Linked DNA regions of Anolis sagrei. The protein of the gene in region 1 purifies or fractionates together with the protein of each later gene. This does not show direct contact. Links are inferred from orthologs where the notes say so. Each region holds a gene or a part of one and is shown on either strand. Other genes may lie near its edges.

Evidence for each region. The genes of interacting proteins can lie anywhere in the genome.
Region 2: the proteins of PSMD7 (region 1) and PAAF1 purify together in Homo sapiens (affinity purification with mass spectrometry; 5 studies listed by BioGRID and IntAct, counting the BioPlex papers as one, with this or other methods). This does not show direct contact. The link is inferred for Anolis sagrei from reciprocal best matches to the Homo sapiens genes PSMD7 and PAAF1.

Annotation. Positions count from the first base shown.
Region 1 is NC_090028.1:28,959,041-28,966,039, forward strand, and holds the start of PSMD7 (26S proteasome non-ATPase regulatory subunit 7), read right to left. Parts: upstream 3,058-6,999; 5' UTR 2,954-3,057; coding exon 2,877-2,953; intron 1-2,876.
Region 2 is NC_090023.1:5,724,559-5,731,955, forward strand, and holds the start of PAAF1 (proteasomal ATPase-associated factor 1), read right to left. Parts: upstream 3,026-7,397; 5' UTR 3,022-3,025; coding exon 2,942-3,021; intron 1,579-2,941; coding exon 1,538-1,578; intron 1,200-1,537; coding exon 1,096-1,199; intron 1-1,095. Other genes in the region: COA4 (cytochrome c oxidase assembly factor 4 homolog, mitochondrial), read left to right, coding at 4,297-4,563. UniProt on the Homo sapiens protein: Inhibits proteasome 26S assembly and proteolytic activity by impairing the association of the 19S regulatory complex with the 20S core.

The DNA.
Region 1 (6,999 bases):
GGCCTCCCCGGAAGATCTTAAATGAACCCAAGTGTTCACTTCGGTCATCTGGAGAGGCCCTGCTCGTGATCCCGCCTGTGTCGCAAGCGCGTTTGGTAGGGACACGAGACAGGGCCTTTTCTGTGGTGGCCCACCGACTCTGGAACACCCTCACCAAAGATCTTAGACAGGCCCCTACATTGGCAGTCTTCAGAAAGAACTTGAAGACCTGGCTGTTCCGATGTGCCTTCCCAGAATAGGAAATCTCCAATACCAAGTCCCAGAAGCACTTTATTAGAACTAAAATTGCCGCACACTGCACTTACCCTATAAGCCTTATATACCACATGTCACATCAGCACTTTTAATTCTGTACCCATTACTCTGGCCCGGCCCAGTTTTATTGCATTTTGGTGTATTGTTTATTGTTTTGTTGTTTAATATTGCTTTAATTGTTTTTCATTTGCTTTAGGTTTTGTATTGTTATGTTGTGTATTGAGGCCTTGGCCTTTGTAAGCCGCATTGAGTCCTTCGGGAGATGCTAGTAAAGGTAAAGGTAGTCCCCTGACATTAAGTCCAGTCATGTCTGACTCTGGGGTGTGGTGCTCATCTCCATTTCTAAGCCGAAGAGCCAGCGTTGTCCGTAGACACCTACAAGATCATGTGGCCGGCATGACTGCATGGAGCGCCGTTACCTTCCCGCTGGAGCGGTACCTATTGATCTACTCACATTTGCATGTTTTCGAACTGCTAGGTTGGCAGAAGCTAGGGCTGACAGTGGAAGCTCACAACGCTCCCCGGAATCGAACATGCGACCTTTCGGTCAACAAGCTCGGCAGCTCAGTGCTTTAACCCACTGCGCCACCAGGGGCTCGGGAGATGCTAGCGGGGTACAAATAAAGTTAATAATGGGTTGTAGGTTTTTCTGGGCTATATGGCCATGTTCTGGAGGCAATTTTTCTCCTGACGCTTCGCCTGCATCTATGGCAAGCATCCTCAGAGGTAGTGAGGTCTGTTGGAGGTAGGAAAAATGGGTTTATAGATCTGTGGAATGACCAGGGTAATGTTTCAGCTGATCACCTTGATTTGCATTCAATGGCCTGGAATCACCTGGGGGGAATCTCTTGTTGAGAGTGATTTTATGTGCCTGTTTGTTTCCCCTCTGTTGTTTTGCTGTTGTAATTTTTGAGTTTTTTAATACTGGTAGCCAGATTTTGTTCATCTAATAATAATAATAATAAATAATAAACTCCAAGGTGGGACATAGAAGGAGATACGTTCACACAGGTACACTGGGCCGGAGCCGCAAAGGGTTTTGTAGGTCAAAACCAGCACTTTGAATTGTGTTTGGAACTGGATTGGCAGCCAGTGGAGCTGACATAACAGGGGGGGGGGGGTGTGCTCCCTGTATGATGCTCCGGTGAGTAATCTGGCTGCCGCCCGCTGGACTAATTGAAGTTTCTGAACAGTCTTCAAAGGCAACCCCACGTAGAGTGTGTTGCGGTAATCTATCCAGGATGTAACAAGAGTGTGGACCACCGTGGCCAGATCCGACTTCCCAAGGTACAGGCGCAGCTGGTGTACAAGTTTTAATTGTGCAAAAGCTCTCCTGGCCACTGCCGAGACCTGGGGTTCCAGGCTCAGCTATGAGTCCAGGATCACTCCCAAGCTGCGAAAGATCTTAGACAGGCCCCTACACTGGCAGTCTTCAGAATGAACTTGAAGACCTGGCTGTTCCGATCTGCCTTCCCAGAATAGGAAATCTCCAATACCAAGTCCCAGAAGCACTTTATTAAAACTAAGATTGTTGCACACCGCACACTGCACTTGCCCTATAATCCTACATACCTCCTGTCACATCAGCACTTTTAATCCTGTACCCATTACTCTGGCCCGGCCCAGTTTTATTGTGTCTTAGTGTATTGTTTATTGCTTGTTGTTTATATTGCTTTAATTGTTTTTAATTTGCCTTAGGTTTTGTACTGTTATGCTGTGTGTTGAGGCCTTGGCCTTTGTAAGTCGCATCGAGTCCTTCGAGAGATGCTAGCAGGGTACAAATAAAGTTTAATAATAATTATTATTAATAATAATAACCTGCGCCTTCAGGGGGAGTGGAACCCCGTCTAACACAGGCTGTAACCCTGTCTGCAGCCCGTAGGCTGTCAGGAATTGTGGGAATTGGAGTCCAAAACCCCTGGCCCAATCCGAGCCCAATTTAAGGTGCAGGTGCTCACCTACAAAGCCCTGAACGGTTTGGGACCACCCTACCTGCGTGACCGCATCGCTGTCTACGAACCCACACGCTCACTACGGTCATCTGGAGAGGCCCTGCTCGTGATCCTGCCTGCGTCGCAAGCGTGCTTGGTGGGGACACAAGACAGGGCCTTTTCTGTAGTGGCCCCCCGACTCTGGAACGCCCTCCCGAAAGATCTTAGACAAGCCCCTACGCTGGCAGTCTTCAGGAAGGAACTGAAAACCTGGCTGTTCCGATGTGCCTTTTCAGATTAGGAACCTCCAGTACCAAATCCTAGAAGCACCTTAGTAGAACCAAGATCACTGCACACCGCACTTATATTTAACCCAACATCCCTCCTGCCACATCAGCACTTTTAACCCTGTACCCCTATTTTGGCCGGCCCAGTTTTAATAGTGTTTTGTTGTATTGTCACTGTTATTGTTTTCCTGCTTAACTGTTTTTAATTTGCTTGGTTATTGTATTGTTGTATTGTGTTTTTTGAGGCTTTGGCCTGTGTAAGCCGCATCGAATCCCTCGGGAGATGCTATAATAATAATAATGATAATAATAAGGCCCAAGCTGGACCAGGCCTGAGGGAAATGCTACTTGAGGGCCGTGACTCAGCCCTTCCGCCTCTTTTCCCCCCCTGAGGCTCTCTCACCGGTTGAAATGGTCGACGACGCTGAGCAGCACCAGGGGGTGGACCACCACCCGCTCCACGGCCAGGTCCGGAGGCATCCTCGCGCCGCTTCCCGAGTCCGAACCGACAGGACTTCTTTTTTTGCGCCTCACTCGCCGGCGGTCGCCTTAATCCCAGCATGCACTGCGCCTCCAGGCGTCGCGCACGGCGTGAGTAAGGCAGCGCAGGGGCCGACGGGTAGAAGGTCCGCCCAAGCTGCGTTCCGCCATCTTGGAGACGTCAGAACTGTGCGCCTCCATCTTGAGAAGGGCGAGAGGCATTTTTGCCTTTTCCTCCCGACTCTCCTGGCAGAGGAGGCGCCATCTTGGGAAGGGCCAATGGAGGGGGCGGCCATTTTGAGAGGCCCAGTGGGCAGAGGGAGGGACAAAACACAAGAGGCCTTGCAAGGAACACTCTGTAAATACTTTCTGATTAGTTTGACTAGTTTATTTATTTATTTATTTATTTATTTATCTTACTTATATACCGCTGTTCTCAGCCCGAAGGCGACTCACAGCGGTTCACAACAAATACGAACAGCAAATATTCAGTGCTACAGTATAGAATGATTGACAACTGGGAAATAGAGGGAGAAAATGTGAAGGCCATGACAGACTTTGTATTTCTAGGTGCAAAGATTACTGCAGATGGAGACTGTGGCCAGGAAATCAGAAGACGCTTACTTCTTGGGAGGAGAGCAATGTCCAGTCTCGATAAAATAGTAAAGAGTAGAGACATCAGACTGGCAACCAAGATCCATTGCCTAGTCAAAGCCATGGTATTCCCTGTAGTCACCTACGGATGTGAGAGATGGACCTTAGGGAAGGCTGAGCGAAGGAAGATCGATGCTTTTGAGCTGTGGTGCTGGAGGAAAGCTCCGAGAGTGCCTTGGACTGCGAGAAGATCCAACCAGTCCATCCTCCAGGAAATAAAGCCCGGCTGCTCACTGGAAGGAAGGATACTAGAGACAAAGTTGAAGTACTTTGGCCACATCATGAGGAGACAGCAAAGCCTGGAGAAGACAATTATGCCGGGGAAAGTGGAAGGCAAAAGGAAGAGGGGCCGACCAAGGGCAAGATGGATGGACGGCATCCTTGAAGTGACTGGACTGACCTTGAAGGAGCTGGGGGTGGTGACGGCCGACAGGGAGCTCTGGCGTGGGCTGGTCCATGAGGTCACGAAGAGTCGGAGACAACTGAACGAATGAACAACAAAACAGTATAGAAACAGTTAACAACCTAACACATTACACAATTAATAAACAGTTACTACAGTACCCGTTCACTGTCGTCTCGTCATCAAAAACATGTTCCAGATTCGTCATCCATTGTTCCATTCCAGTGTTCATTAACCAATCATTGCACTAATTATTGGAACACCTGCTCAAACAGCCAGGTCTTCACTTTTTTGTAGAATACCATTAGAGATGGTGCTAGTCTAATGTCCGTAGGAAGGGCGTTCCACAGCCGAGGAGCCACCACCGAGAAGGCCCTATCTCTCGTCCCCGCCAGCCGAGCTTGAGAAGCAGGTGGGATCGAGAGCAGGGCCTCCCTGGAAGATCTCAAAGTCCTGGTGGGTTCATAGGCAGAGATGCGGTCAGATAGGTAGCTTGTTATCATTGTTATCATTGTTATCATAGTTATCATTTTATATTAATTAAGGATACAGGAAGGGGGGGGGCGACAAAAAACTAACATTAAGAGAATTCTGGGAGGAAGAAGTAAGAATAAAAACAACAAAGAATGGGAATGGATATGGAAAGCAAGACCATTAAAACATGTCAATTAGAATGAAAGGAAATGATTCTAAATTAATTTGAAAGTGGTATTTCACACCGAGAAGGCTAAACCTTATGAAGAGAAATTATCATGAAAAATGGGTTGCTGTGAGTTTTCTGGGCTGTATGACCATGTTCCAGCAAATATGGGAAACACAAGAATGGCCATCAGACTGGAAAAAATCGACTTATATCTCCATACCAAAAAAGGGAAATGCGAAAGACTGCTCAAACTTCCGTACAGTGGCCCTTATTTCTCATGCCAGTAAGGGAATGCTCAAGATCCTGCAAGGAAGACTCCAGCAATACATGGAGCAAGAGTTGCCAGACGTTCAAGCTGGGTTTAGAAAAGGCAGAGGAACCAGAGACCAGATTGCCAATATCCGCTGGATAATGGAGAAAGGCAGGGAGTTTCAGAAAAACATCTACTTCTGCTTCATTGACTACTCTAAAGCCTTTGACTGTGTGGATTATAATACATTATGGCAAGTTCTTGGTGGGATGGGCATACCAAGCCACCTTGTCTCTCTCCTGAAGAATCTGTATAAGGACCAAGGAGCAACAGTCAGAACTGACCATGGAACAACAGACTGGTTCAAGATTGGGAAAGGAGTATGGCAGGGTTGTATACTCTCCCCCAATCTATTTAACTTGCATACAGAACACATCATGCAATGTGCGGGGCTTGATGAATGCAAGGCTGGGGTGAAAATTGCTGGAAGAAACATTAACAACCTTAGATATGCAGATGACACCACTCTGATGGCCAAAAGTGAGGAGGAGCCGAGGAGCCTTCTAATCAAGGTGAAAGAAGAAAGCGCAAAAGCTGGGTTGCAGCTAAACGTCAAAAAACCCAAGATTATGGCAACAAGAATGATTGACAACTGGGAAATAGAGGGAGAAAATGTGGAGGCCGTGACAGACTTTGTATGTCTAGGTGCAAAGATTACGGCAGATGCAGACTGTGGCCAGGAAATCAGAAGACGCTTACTTCTTGAGAGGAGAGCAATGTCCAGTCTCGATAAAATAGTAAAGAGTAGAGACATCAGACTGGCAACAAAGATCCGCATAGTCAAAGCCATGGTATTCCCTGTAGTCACCTACGGATGTGAGAGCTGGACTTTAGGGAAGGCTGAGCGAAGGAAGATCGATGCTTCTGAACTGTGGTGTTGGAGAAAAGTTCTGAGAGTGCCTTGGACTGCGAGAAGATCCAACCAGTCCATCCTCCAGGAAATAAAGCCCGACTGCTCATTGGAGGGAAGGATACTAGAGACAAAGTTGAAGTACTTTGGCCACATCATGAGGAGACAGCAAAGCCTAGAGAAGACAATTATGCCGGGGAAAGTGGAAGGCAAAAGGAAGAGGGGCCGACCAAGGGCAAGATGGATGGACGGCATCCTTGAAGTGACTGGACTGACCTTGAAGGAGCTGGGAGTCGTGACGGCTGACAGGGAGCTCTGGCGTGGGCTGGTCCATGAGGTCACAAAGAGTCAGAGACGACTGAACGAATGAACAACATGACCATGTTCCAGAAGCATTCTCTCCTGATGTTTCACCCACATCTACAAGAAGCACTGCCTGACCTACAAGAAGCACTGCCTGAACATCAAGCAAAAAGTGAGCGCTAGAAATAATATACGAAAGCTGACTGGCACAACCTGGGGATCACAACCAGACAAAGTGAAGATATCTGCCCTTGCGCTGTGCTACTCTGCTGCTGAGTACGCATGCCCAGTGTGGAACACATCTCACCACGCTAAAACAGTGGATGTGGCTCTTAATGAGACATGCCGCATTATCACGGGGTGTCTGCGCCCTCCACCACTGGCTGAAATTACACTGCTTAGCCGATATTGCACCACCTGTCATCCGCTGGGAAGTAGCAGCCAATAGTGAAAGGACCAAGGCAGAGATATCTCCAACTCATCCCCTGTTTGGGTATCAGCCAGCACGTCAACGACTTAAATCTAAAAATAGTTTTCTAAGATCTACAGAGACACTTGCTGGAACACCCCAGCAAGTGAGAGTCCAAAAGTGGCAGGCTCAAACCCAGCACCTCAATTAATGGCTGATACCAAATGAGAGACTCCCCCCTGGGCACACAGAAGACTGGGCGACTTGGAAGGCGCTGAACAGACTGCGCTCTGGCACCATGAGATGCAGAACCAACCTTCAGAAATGGGGCCACAAAGTGGAATCCTCGGCATGCGAGTGTGGAGAAGAGCAAACCACTGACCATCTGCTGCAATGCACCCTGAACCCCGCCACATGCACAATGGAGGACCTTCTTGCACCAACACTAGAGGCACTCCAAGTGGCCAGATACTG
Region 2 (7,397 bases), on another chromosome or scaffold:
CATGAGCATTCTCTCCTGATGTTTCGCCTCCATCTATGGTAGGCATCCTAAGAGGTTGTGAGGTCTGTTGGAAACTACGATGCCTACCATAGATGCAGACGAAATGTCAGGAGAGAATGCTCATGGAACATAGAATCATAAAATCAAAGAGTTGGAAGAAGTTCTTCCTCATGTTCAGATGGAATCTCCTCTCTTGTAGTTTGAAGCCATTGTTCCGCGTCCTAGTCTCCAGGGAAGCAGAAAACAAGCTTGCTCCCTCCTCCCTGTGGTTTCCTCTCACATGGCCATACAGCCCAAAAAACTCACAACAATCCAGTGATTCTGGCCATGAAAACCTTCAACAATACAATGGCTTCAAACTACAAGAGAGGAGATTCCATCTGAACATGAGGAAGAACTTCCCGACTGTGAGAGCCATTCAGCAGTGGAACTCTCTGCCCCGGAGTGTGGTGGAGGCTCCTTCTTTGGAAGCTTTTAAACAGAGGCTGGATGGCCATCTGTCAGGGGTGCTTTGAATGCAATATTCCTGCTTCTTGGCAGAATGGGGTTGGACTGGATTCTATGATTCTAATATAATAAAACATTATGTGTATACCGCCGTATCTCCACAAAGGGACTCACACAAAGGGTGGTTTCCAACATATAAGGCAAACATTCAGACATGCAAGGAAGGCTCTCCTCTCATGGTCTTGAGCAATAAAGCAATTAAGAGTATTTTGAAGGAATTTAACAATAATAGGTAAGCAGCACACTAGCACTGTAAGCAATCCCAAGAAGCAGAACAACAGAAAACAATATTTTATCCATTGGATGCAGGGCAACCAACCCATTAACCAATCCAAAGAGGGAACTTGTCCCTTCACTATTGTGCTGTATTATCTTTTTGCAAATTTAAGAGGTACACTGAATTTCAACAAGGTCTCCATACTGCTGCCTGGGAGTCTTATGGATTCTCCTCTGGAAACTTTTCAACAGAGACTCGATGACCATCTGCCAGGAGAGCTTGGATTGTGTCTTCCTGCCTGGCAGAAAGGGGTTGGACTGGATGACTCGGGGGGGGGGGGGGGGGTCCCTTCCAACTCTATGTGAAAGTACCTTTGTTATTTCGCTAACAGTGAAGCCTTCGGAGGCTGTGATTTCAGGAATTCCATCTGAGTTGATTCCCCGACAGGTCAACGTGCCATACAGAGTTGCTTTTCCTAGATCACAATAACACACAAAAGGAGGAAGAGGAGGAGATGAGTGAAGCACTATTAAGCAACCAAGGCTGCATCTATACTGCCATATAATCCATGTTTTGCATAGCCTGATTAAAGGCATAAGCATGACTGTTATACTATGGTTAAAAAACTATAAGAGTTGTTCAGTAGTAGAATAGACTGCCTTAGAAGTCGGTGAATTGATCATTCTTGAAGGCCCTTAAACCAACTTTGGATGGGCCTCTTTCAGGAGCACTGTGGCTATCCATTCTTGCATGGCAGAACAGGATTGGACTAGATGTTCCTTGCAGCCCCTTCCAGCTTCTTTGACTGCTCACCTGGGCTCCTGCAACTCAGCCAAGCCTCTTCCTCGTTCTTCCTACAATGGCAACAAAAGACCAGTATAAAGGATCACAATAGGACTCCTAGGGCTAAGGATAAACAAATCTTTCTGACACTATCATTATCATCATCATCATCCTGATTTTCTGCCATGGGTGGGATTCAAAGTGGCATACAGAGTTAAAAGCAGCAGAAATTACTAACATAAAATTCGACAAAAAGAAACAGACTACACAGTTCCTAACCCGTATAAAACAAATTCATAAATTACAACATTTCATAGAATCAAAGAGTTGGAAGAGACCTCCTGGGCCATCCAGTCCAACCCCTTTCTGCCAAGAAGTAGGAATATTGCATTCAAATCACCCCTGACAGGTGGCTATCCAGCCTCTGTTTAAAAGCTTCCAAAGAAGGAGCCTCCACCACACTCCGGGGCAGAGAGTTCCACTGCTGAATGGCTCTCACAGTCAGGAAGTTCTTCCTCATGTTCAGATGGAATCTCCTCTCTTGTAGTTTGAAGCCATTGTTCCATTGCGTCCTAGTCTCCAAGGAAGCGGAAAACAAGCTTGCTCCCTCCTCCTCCCTGTGGCTTCCTCTCACATATTTATAAATGGTTATCATATCTTCTCTCGGCCTTCTCTTCTTCAGGCTAAACATGCCCAGCTTCTTAAGCCGCTCCTCATAGGGCTTGTTCTCCAGACCCTTGATCATTTTAGTCGCCCTCCTCTGGACACATTCCAGCTTGTCAATATTTCTCTTCAATTGTGGTGCCCAGAATTGGACACAATAATCGGATGATAATATTATTTGTGGAGCCCCGGTGGCGCAGTGGGTTAAACCCCTGTGCCGGCAGGACTGAAGACCGACAGGTTGCAGGTTCGAATCCGGGGAGAGGTGGATGAGCTCCCTCTGTCAGCTCTAGCTCCTCATGCGGGGGACATGAGAGAAGCCTCCCACAAGGATGATAAAAACATCAAATCATCCGGGCGTCTCCTGGGCAACATCCTTGTAGACGGCCAATTCTCTCACACCAGAAGCGACTTGCAGTTTCTCAAGTCGCTCCTGGCACGACAAATATATATACAAGCCATTCAATTGAATGGCTTATTGGCCTATGCATTTTGACTAACCCTGTATATGTTTATATTATTTTAGACTGTGACCTAATTTCAAATGGCCCAGGATTATTATAAGGTTTGAGAGCTTTAAAGAACTGAAAAAAGAAAACGAATAATAATAAAAAGGAGGGTATAAAAGAGGCCGGAACCTTGTGTCAGGAGCACTCAATTCCGGGGGAAGGATAGAATCGACGCACACAGGGAGCATTTTAGGCAGAGCGCCCTCCCTGGGTGGGAGGGGCTTGTGACCAAGGGGCGTGGCTTACTCCCCTCCTGGCTCACCTCAGGACTTGGTCCCAGTCGCTCTGGATCCGGACCACGGCGGCAGCGGAGGAAAAGCCTTGCGAAGCGGCGTCCGCCATCTTGGTCACGGAAAGCCCCACCCCGGAAGTAGTCCCCGCAGTGTTTCCGCTCACGGCTGAGTCTAGAAGAAGGGAAGGTGAGAGCGGCTTTCAGCCAAATCAAGAAGGCCGAAAAGGGGCTCCTGTCCCTTTAAGGCTTAAAGGGACCGTGGCTCCCAAGCGCTCTTATTCCAGGACTTCATTTCCCAGAAGCCTCAGCTGATGCGGACAATAAGGAGGGATTCTGGGGGATGAAGTCCAAAAGCCCTGGAGGAGCAAAGATTGGGAAATAATGCTTTTAAATAGAAATGCTGATCAGTGTTTTGTCGAAGGCTTTCATGGCCGGATTTCACTGGGTTGCTGTGAGTTTTCCGGGCTGTCTGGCCATGTTCCAGAAGCATTCTCTCCTGACGTTTCGCCTGCATCTATAGATGCAGGCGAAACGTCAGGAGAGAATGCTTCTGGAACATGGCCAGACAGCCCGGAAAACTTACAAGCCAATGCTAATCAGATTTGTAGATGGCACAAAATTGGAATTATTATTACTAGTATTATATTGTATGCCTGCCATAGATGCAGGCGAAACGTCAGGAGAGAATGCTTCTGGAACATGGCCAGACAGCCCGGAAAACTTACAAGCCAATGCTAATCAGATTTGTAGATGGCACAAAATTGGAATTATTATTACTAGTATTATATTGTATGCCTGCCATAGATGCAGGCGAAACGTCAGGAGAGAATGCTTCTGGAACATGGCCGGACAGCCCAGAAAACTTACAAGCCAATGCTAATCAGATTTGTAGATGGCACAAAATTGGAATTATTTTTACTAGTATTATATTGTATTACATTAAAATATTATAAATATTATATGTATATAAAATATACCATAACCTGACAGATAGCTTGAATGTGCCTATATAAAGACAGAGTGAGTGAAGGAGAGAATTATTATTATCACACTATGTACAAAATTTGAAAACGTTTCTGTTCCTGGTTTGAACGTGTTATTATTTCCTGTTTAGTTGTGTGGCCCTTACTTTGAAATTAGTAATTCTACTCCAGAAACTTTTTTGAGGTTGAATTGGTTGAGATGCTATGAGATCCACTGGAAAACTAGAGCAAAATGTGCTGCTGCAGGATGTCCCTCCCGCAGAAACAAAGTTTTAGCAGTTTTATAAACTTTCTCCATGTTTTTATGATAGAACCAATTATGAAATTAGGAACAAAAATCATGTTACAGAGTGTGGTTGGTGATGATTAATAACTTTTATTGTGTCCTCCAGATTCCATAGTATGTCCGGTGCCAAGCCCCCTGGTCACAATTGGAGCCGGAAACCGAAAGAAGAGGAGGAAGGCGAGGAGGATGCTTTTGACAGCATGATTGCCCGCACCGGATGCGCCTCTTTCCACTACGCAGTGCAGGAGTGCATGGCGGAGCACCAAGACTGGAGGAAATGCCAGCCACAAGTGCAGGGCTTCAAGGAATGCATGAAGGAGCACCAGAAGAAGCAAGCGGAAGAGTATCGGAGGCGGCGGGAGATGCACCAGGCCCCCGGCTGAAGAGACATTCTTTCGCAAGGCACCAGAAACATGTGCCTATTTCAAACAGAGACTTGTGGGGCCTAATCCTGGCAAAATGTGCACTCTTTTTCTATCATGCATACCATTATACAATATTTGATTCCAAAAGGAGCAATAGGATATATTCTCTTGCACAATAAACAAACATGAAAGTAGTATTTTCTTGCTTTTCTTTATGCAATACACTAGGCATTGGCAAACTTTGGCCCATCCGGTGTTTTGGACTTCAACTCACAGAGTTCCTAACAGCTGTATGTAATTTTGTTGTATATGTTCACTTGATGTAGTTTTGTTGTAAGTTGTAGAGCAGTGGTTCTCAACCTTCCTAACACTGCGACCCCTTTGTATAGTTCCTCATGTTGTGATGACCCCCAACCCTAAAATTATTTTTGTTGCTACTTCATAACTGGAATTTTGCTATTGTTATGAATTGTCATGTAAATATCTGACAGGTGAATGTATTTTCATTCTCTGGACCTTGGGAGTTGTAGTTGCTGGGATTTATAGTTCACCTACAATCAAAGAACATTCTGAACTACACCAGAGATGGAATTGACCCAATCTTGGCACACAGAACGCCCATGACCAGCAAAAAAATAATGAAAGGGTTAGGTGAGCATTGGCCTTGAGTTTGGGAGTTGTAGTTCACCTATCTCCAGAAAGCACTGTGGACTCAAACAATGATAGATCTGGACTAAACTTGGCACGAATACTCAATATGCCCAAATGTGAACTCTGTTGGGAGTTTGGGGAAAATAGACCTTGACATTTGGGAGTTGTAATTGCTGGGATTTATAGTTCACCTACAATCAGAGAGCATTCTGAACCCCACCAACGATAGAATTGGGCCAGACTTCCCACACAGAACTTGCATGACCAGCAGAAAATACTGTGTATCCTGATGATCTTTGGCAACCCCTCCAACACCCCATCGCAACCCCCCCCAGGGGTCCCGACCCCCAGGTTGAGAAACACTGTTGTAGTGGTTAGTTAGCTGCTTAGTTTTAGCTAAATCTAATTATTATCCTATGACCAACAGAAAATACTGGAGAAGTTTGGGTGAAATACATATTGACATTTGAGAGTTGCAGTTGCTTGGAGTTATAGTTCCCCTGCCATTAAAGAGCATTCTGAACTCCAACAACCATGGAATTGAACCAAACCTGGCATACAGAACTCCCATGACCAACAGAAAATATTGGGGAAAATATAAATACCTTGACATTTGGGAGTTGCAGTTGCTTGGAGCATTCTGGAGGGGCCCGGGTCTGGCGGGGAGGCTCACGCCATTGCTGAGCCCAGCAGGCAGTGAGAGCCTGGCAATGGAGGTTCCACCACGTGGCCTAGCCTTTTAAGGAGCCTTCGTCTGGCTCGGGGCCCCACCAGCCAGCAAACGGAGAGAGCCAGGCAAGGGAGGCTTCGCACAAGGCCAGGCCTTGTGTGAAGCCCTTGCCTGGCTCGTGGCCGTGCTGGCTTGGCATGTGGTGAAAGACAGGTGAAGGATGCTCCGCACAAGGCCAGGCCTTAGAATCATAGAATCAAAGAGTTGGAAGAGACCTCCTGGGCCATCCAGTCCAACCCCATTCTGCCAAGAAGCAGGAATATTGCATTCAAATCACCCCTGACAGATGACCATCCAGCCCCTGTTTAAAAGCTTCCAAAGAAGGAGCCTCCACCACACTCCGGGGCAGAGAGTTCCACTGCTGAACGGCTCTCCCAGTCAGGAAGTTCTTCCTAATGTTCAGTTGGAATCTCCTCTCTTGTAGTTTGAAGCCATTGTTCCATTGCGTCCTAGTCTCCAAGGAAGCAGAAAACAAGCTTGCTCCCTCCTCCCTGTGGCTTCCTCTCACATATTTATACATGGATATCATATCTCCTCTCAGCCTTCTCTTCTTCAGGCTAAACATGCCCAGCTCCTTAAGCCGCTCCTCATAGGACTTGTTCTCCAGACCCTTGATCATTTTAGTCGCCCTCCTCTGGACACATTCCAGCTTGTCAATATCTCTCTTGAATTGTGGTGCCCAGAATTGGACACAATATTCCAGGTGTGGTCTAACCAAAGCAGAATAGAGGGGTAGTGTGACTTCCCTAGATCTAGACACTAGGCTCCTATTGATGCAGGCCAAAATCCCATTGGCTTTTTTTGCCGCCACATCACATTCCTGGCTCATGTTTAACTTGTTGTCCACGAGGACTCCAAGATCTTTTTCACACGTACTGCTCTCGAGCCAGGCATTGTCCCCCATTCTGTATCTTTGCATTTTGTTTTTTCTGCCTAAGTGGAGTATCTTGCATTTGTCCCTGTTGAACTTCATTTTGTTAGTTTTGGCCCATCTCTCTAATCTGTCAAGATCGTTTTGAATTCTGTTCCTGTGCCTTGTGTGGAGCCTTCGCCTTGCTCGCACCCCTGTCGGCCGGCACGCAGCAAAAGCCATCAAGGGAGGCGGCCAGTTTGAGCAGGTGAAGGGGGTGCGGCCAAAGGAGATAGCTTTATGACCCCTCCTAAATGGCCAAATGACCCCCCTGGTGGTCGCGACCCCCAGGTTGAGAACGGCTGAGCTGTAAATATTAGTAAGCGGGGCAAACTGATGCCGAATGATGGGAGTTGTACTTCACTCATATCCTTGCACACTTTGCAGTGGGTCCATTCATAAAACCCAAAGCCAAATAATGACCAGTTCTAAAGTTTATCTTTACAAAAGCCCAATCTGGGCATCGCCAGGTACATAAGCTAGTCTATATAAATAAAAATGTAATGTTTGTTTGTGGGATTAACAGAACTCAAAAACCAGTGGGCGAATTGACACCAAATT